Yarrowia lipolytica: one gene and its partner. The protein of the gene in region 1 binds, or shares a complex with, the protein of each later gene. Links are inferred from orthologs where the notes say so. Each region holds a gene or a part of one and is shown on either strand. Other genes may lie near its edges.

The links. Proteins that work in one complex are often made in the same cells at the same time.
Region 2: the proteins of YALI1_D13790g (region 1) and YALI1_D08715g are in contact, whole or in part, in a crystal structure (PDB 5OKZ), measured with the Saccharomyces cerevisiae proteins. The link is inferred for Yarrowia lipolytica from reciprocal best matches to the Saccharomyces cerevisiae genes RRP42 and SKI6. Residues at the interface, in NP_010172.1 of Saccharomyces cerevisiae: Phe40, Leu41, Pro42, Ser43, Arg49, Ile51, Gly55, Glu57, Ile59, Ser61, Lys63, Gln77, Asp79, Asp81, Ala83, Phe125, Asp127, Leu129, Ile131, Ser132; in NP_011711.3 of Saccharomyces cerevisiae: Thr31, His32, His34, Ala35, Lys48, Ile50, Leu52, Asn77, Thr79, Lys80, Phe81, Lys83, Arg86, Glu125, His127, Leu129, Glu130.

Annotation. Positions count from the first base shown.
Region 1 is NC_090773.1:1,377,403-1,380,556, forward strand, and holds YALI1_D13790g (uncharacterized protein), read left to right. Parts: upstream 1-1,658; coding exon 1,659-2,597; downstream 2,598-3,154. Other genes in the region: YALI1_D13788g (uncharacterized protein), read right to left, coding at 1-1,488. UniProt on the Saccharomyces cerevisiae protein: Non-catalytic component of the RNA exosome complex which has 3'->5' exoribonuclease activity and participates in a multitude of cellular RNA processing and degradation events.
Region 2 is NC_090773.1:870,216-873,343, reverse strand, and holds YALI1_D08715g (uncharacterized protein), read left to right. Parts: upstream 1-1,761; coding exon 1,762-2,625; downstream 2,626-3,128. UniProt on the Saccharomyces cerevisiae protein: Non-catalytic component of the RNA exosome complex which has 3'->5' exoribonuclease activity and participates in a multitude of cellular RNA processing and degradation events.

The DNA of each region.
Region 1 (3,154 bases):
AATTCTAGCCAGGTACAGCTTCTGCAGTTTTCGTCGGACACCTGTCTCGGACGTGAGCAGCAGCATGGGAGCAAAGGCGTCCAATGCTGCGTCGCTCAGCTGGAACTCTGTGGCCTTGAGTCCAGACATGACGCCTGCTAGTGCGTAGATCTTGGAGGGGTCGAATCCTTCTCTCAGAATGTTGAGCAGCTTGAAGATGCAGATGGTTAGCGCTTCGATTCGAGACTTGTCAAAAGTGGTGTAGAGACCCTCGATAAAGGTCTCCAGAGTATCACCGTAGATGCAAACATTCTGATCGTCGTGTCTAGCAGTCTGGAAATGGGTAGCTTCGAGAAGATAAGGCAGCAGCTTGGATTCCAAGAAAGGGATGTCATGCTGAAAGACAACCAGAGAAGCAATTGGCAGAGCAAGAACAACCTTGGCCATGTACTTCCGCACGGTGTCCATGGTAGCATTGAGTCCCATGGCAATGAGAGCGATACCCCAACGAGGAGCAAGCTTGCATTCTGGCCCGAGGAACATGAGAATATCTCCCTCACAGGCCACCGTCTGGTTGTAGGAAGAGTCAATGGCGATGATCTCGGTGAGAGTAGCAAAACGTTTCCATTGCTCTAGCAGAACATCTCTGTCGGTTGTGGACCACTGCATGCTTTCCAGAGAAATGTCGCTGACAATATGCTGGACAGATCTTGAGATGATGTACAGGGCCAGCTTCTTGTGGTCGTAGGAGGTAGTCTTAAGAGGCCTGAGGAGACAGGCCCAGTAAAGGTCAGTCTTGAAGAGCGACTGGAAAGTCTCGGACTCGAGGGTAGCAGAGTCACATGCACTCAGCCACCACAGCCACAGCTTGTATCCCACGGTCTTGTGGTCGTCCAGGGACGAGTTGACGAGATCGGAGACAATGGTCCACAGATACGACGCCAGGGCGCTTGTAGCTACATTGGTCATTCTCAGTTTGAGAAGCACGGCAGCAGAATGGACCAGATCAGAGTCAGACAGACAGACAACATGGAGAAGCAGAGAGTCCAGCTGTGGGTTACCCAGGTCGTTGTTGAGCAGAAGAGATTGTAGGAACTTGAGAGATACTGCGGCGGTCTCAACGTCAACAGATCCGCCAGAATTCGACTCCTCCACAGCAGGCAGATCCGCATTTACCAGGTAGTTGAGATGAGGTTGGGACACATATGATCTCAGGTTGTTGTATGCATGGTCAAAGAGCAGCCTGGAGAGCAGAGGGATCTGACTCGAGACCAGGGTGATTGATTCCGAGCATGTACCAATCGACTCGGCGCACTTATCGGCCACATTGGCCACCTTTTCCTGGAACACCTGGGGTGTCAAGATCTCTTCCAGCAGCTGGAGGTCCTTGGCCTGGTTCACCAGGTCAGCCGACACGGAGGGACCGATCGCCCCGACCAGGCGGTCGGTGAGTTCATCCGCGTGTTTCCCCAGCGTGTGCTGATCCAGTTTTTTGAGCAGATCCAGCATCGGTTTTTGTGATATGACGTTTTGAATCAGCACTACCAAAAAATTTAGAAAGTTCCAAATTAAGCTTCCACCTTCATGCACAATTATTTTTCCACTATCGCCATCCACCCTCAGCTTAAAAAATTTAAGGCGTATACAACACCGCACACGCTACACATAATATCCACACGATGCCCTTCTCGCCAGCAGAAATCGACTATCTCCGCAAATCGCTCCAGGCCACGCCCACGATCCGACCAGACGCCCGAGAGCCCAACCAATTCCGGCCGGTGGATGCAGCGCAGAACTTTTTGCCAGCAACAAACGGATCAGCCCGAATAAGAACGTCGGACGGAGGCGAATGCATTGTGGGAGTCAAGGCCAAGGTGGTGAAGAACTCGTCCGTGGACGAACTGATTGCCGTGGAGGTGGATATTGACGATATCAGAGATGACAGTCCCTTGCCCAAGCTGCTGTCTGCCGTACTGCAGACGCTCATTCTTTCCAGCATTGACACAAACCGGCTTCGTCTGACCCGGTCCAATTATGCTTTCAAGCTACATATTGACGCGTTGGTGCTGTCGCACACCTCGTTTCCTCTGAACTTGGTGTCTCTGGCCATTTTCCTGGCTCTCAAATGCACACGTCTTCCTCTTCTGGTGTCCTCAGCCAATGACGAGGAGCACGAGGAGGTCCCTGTATTTTCCGACGACTGGGAGGAGTCTCTGGCGCTCTGTGGAGGCGAGATTCTGGCCAACAACTCCGGATCGGAGGCCATTTCGTGGACCCCGCCTCTGGTGTTTTCTCTGGCAGTGGTAGGGAACAACATTCTCGTCGATCCCACCCACGAAGAGGAGTCTGTGTCTGACCTTGGCCTCATCATGGGCTGGTGCAACGGCCAGGTCTGCGCTCCTCTACGAATCATCGATCTTGCATCTGCTGGAGGCAACGTGTCTCCCGAGCAGCTTAGCCAGCAACAGAGCATGCTGGAGCAGGGCATCGACCTGAACATGAAGGGTACTTCGCGAAAGCTCATCATGAAGGCCTACTCTCTGCTTACCAACACCGCTCCCGAGGTTGTTGCTGCGCTCGACGCCACTGCTGACGAGGAGGATGGTGCTTTGTTCTAAGCACCTGGAAAGAAAGGATGAGCCTTTACACATATACACAATGCTTGTGCACGACTGTATTAGATTTCATTGGTCGTGTCATACAAGTGACCACAGCTTTGCACATAATGTATTTTGATATTGAACAGTACGTACAGTACACTACAGAATGTACAAGTACCTGTAGCAGATGATATGTACTCATCACTTTACTGATTCGCCCTAGAGCAGCTAAGATGATTCAATGAACAATTCATACAACGGATTACATCAACTTCACTGTGGATACCGTTTGATAACGGCACCTGAGTCTATCCGCGGGTGTCTAGATGATGATGACAGTGGGAGTCACTATCAACGGATAAATTCCATCCAGTGAGTAATTAATGGAAATTCTTTGGCATCCCACATGTTCCAGAAAGCTTTCATTGTTGTATTATTTCCTTTGATATCTTTCAAGTGACTTCAAGCAGCTCCCTGTCGTATGATGTCGAGACTTGGCCATGTTAGCTCTTTAACAAACGAACCCCGATATCTAACTAATATATGTATGAGATAGTTGTATGGGTGAATGACTC
Region 2 (3,128 bases), about 510 kb from region 1:
AATGCGGGGGGCGTTGGTTTTGTGGCTGTGGGTTGTGGATCGATAGGTGAAGGACTGGCCGTGGGGGATGTGCGTCTTTATATCCTTTGTGGTTGTGTCACGTTCGTCTTTGGGAGCGTCGTTCTCAGACTGACCGATGATGTGCTTCGTTGAGTGAAAAGAAAGATAAACAGAGCCGAGCAATGAGTCGAGCGATGGGCCAGGCGATCTGTGAACGTGTCGAGTTGGCAAGTGGATCTCGGCTTTATACAACGGTTGATCTGTGTTGGACTTGCCTTGAGTGTGGTGTGATGAGAGATAGGTCGATGACTATGACTCTATGCTACCCGGTGTCTTTGGATGTTACGCCCCAGGTGAGGCGAACCGAATCTCAGTATGAAGAGGAGCTGTGGAAGGGGGACGCCAGTGGGGTCTCCGGGTTCATAGGGTGGTGGGATGAGGGTGTGGGGGAGGAGAAAGAGCTGCTAATGCGAAGAGACTGCAGCAGCAAATGCGATCTGTCTTTTGACCCTGCACTCTGCTAGACTCACCAATAAAATTTCTATTGAACCTTAGTCGACGGAGCTTATCCGGCGGTGGTGGGAAATTGTAGTGAGACATGGCCCGTCAGAGACCCGCCACAAGAGGACCATGGACAGGCCGAACCACCGTCGAGACACACGTCCAAGTGGTGTTTTTCCAACCGGAATCAGCGTGTCCACCAAAAAATCTCCTCCTAGACGGCCCCAACTCCTCCCCACCGCCGTCACTGGTCCTCCCCAGCCGCATCCTTCAACCACCCAGTTTTTCTGAAGCCAAAGTGCTCCCCGAAGCGTAGACCAAAAAAAAAAAAAACTAAAGAAAATTTGAAAATTTAAAAAAAACTAAGCCTATTTTTCAAGCTGTAGGGATCCATGTTGGACCTACAAGTAGGACTGCTGCGATAGACCGATAGACCGTGTGTCTTTCAGCTTCAGGGTTTGTGGCTCAAATGTCCCGAGTTTCCCGAATAGGCAGTCAACACACACGAGTCCTCCCGCGGACCCGGTCCCAAGCCTTGTTTGCAACATGGAAAAAATGTATCAAAAAATTGGGACCAGTGTAAAAAATGGCAACGAAACATGTTGACACACAGCAAAACCGTATACGGCACAAACCGGCAGTGTAAAGCTCCACTTTTGGGTGTAAACACGCGCCTTCTGGACCGGACGGGACCAGATGATGCTGTTGGATTGTTCTCGTGCCAGGTGGAGGAAGTGCCAGTCCTCCCTACCCTACTGTATCGTAGAGAGAGATAGCTCCGCCACCAGACGCTGGACGTGCGATAAGGAAAGACATGCTGCTGCACCGGCCAACGGTGTACATGACAGATGTGAGGGGTGCAGAACGGTGGCATGTGCTGTTGGGGTTGAAGTGGGAATAGCGAGCAAAATGCGTATTGGTGCGGTTCGAACGGGGGGTTTTCTGTTGTAGTGGGCCAGTTCAATTCCTGGCCATGTTGTTCTGCGCACGCCTTAGATTTGCCTTTCTGCATGAAGAAATAAATATCGAAAATCAATACACCAATTGCTACCCAACAGCACATAATGGTGAGTTCGAGGAGGATGTGAGGAGGGAAGGGGGGAGGGAATATGAGGAAAGGCGCAGCCGCCCTAACGCCTCCGACCATCTATGCGTCGTGAAAGAAATCAGATCGATCCTCCCAGGCATTTGCGGACGTTTTTCAAACGACTGTAATCTGACGACTTTGACATCTGACAATTGCTGGTTTTCAGCATCTCAATGTTCGTTTGGGAACTCTCTGACACGTCTGCAAATTGTGATTCATTTTGGATCAGACGCGGGCGCTTAGGATCAGACACAGGCACTTTGGATCAGACACACAGGGCACTTTTGCCTTCATATTCTTCACCACTAACCCAGTCTCGCCACGAAATATACTCCCCCGAAGGTCTGCGAACCGACGGACGACGGTGGAACGAGATCCGGAACTTTGACTGCAAAATCAACACCCACCCGACCTCGGCCGACGGCTCGTCGTACGTCGAGTGGGGCCACACCAAGGTGGTTTGCACCGTGGACGGACCTCGAGAGCCCGACAACCGCCAGAACACCACTGACCGGGCGGTCATCAGTGTCAATGTCAATGTGGCCTCGTTCAGCACAGAGACGCGGATCAAGCGGCAACGCAACGACAAGCGGCTCGCGGAAATGAACATTCTCATTCGCCAGCTGCTGGAGGAGGCGGTGCTGACCAAACTCAACCCCCGAACCCAGATTGCCGTCAATATCACCGTCATTGCCCAGGATGGCGGGCTTCTTCCTGCCTGCATCAACGCCGCCTGCCTGGCCATGATCGATGCCGGCGTGCCTCTCACCGACTATGTGTCTGCCTGTTCTTCCGGCGTCTACTCTAACAACGCTCTGATTGATCTCAACACCCTGGAGGAGCAAGACGTGCCGTTTCTGACGATTGGCGTCATTGGCAAATCTGACAAGATCTCAATGCTGACGCTCGAGACACAGCTGCCCATGGCGTCGCTGGAACCCGTGCTCGCCACCTCGCTGAGCGGGGCACACGCCATCCAGGACATTATGGACGCCGCCGTTAGAAAGCATGGTAAGCATAGACTCGAGAGAAAGTAACATAGCATCAGGGGCGAGGTGTAGAGAGAGGGAGATGAACGACGGAGGGATATCGGATGGTCTTCGATTGGGGCAAATGTCACTGTGGGAATTCGCAAACGGCACGTAAAAGGACTCGCAAAAGGACTCGCAAAAGGACTCGCAAAAAAACTCGCAAAAGGACTCGCAAAAGGGATTTGTCATGGGAACTCGACATGGGAACTCGACATTGAGAACCTCACCAAGGAGAACCTGCCCGTCATGACACTCATCTCTCTAATACGAGTAGACGCGAGCCTCTGAAGAGAATAGCCAATGATAGAACCTCTGTATACATAGATAAGATATTTTTATTACACATTTCAGACGACACCATTTCGGCTGGCTTTTTGAGATACCGTACACGTTCAGATTCTGCCTATGAAGCTGGTTCGAACCAGACTATCGCACCAGTCGGTTCAGCATGCGTTGTTTATTCTGATTGTATCATGATATCCGATCAAAGCCGTTATAAAAAGACAGGT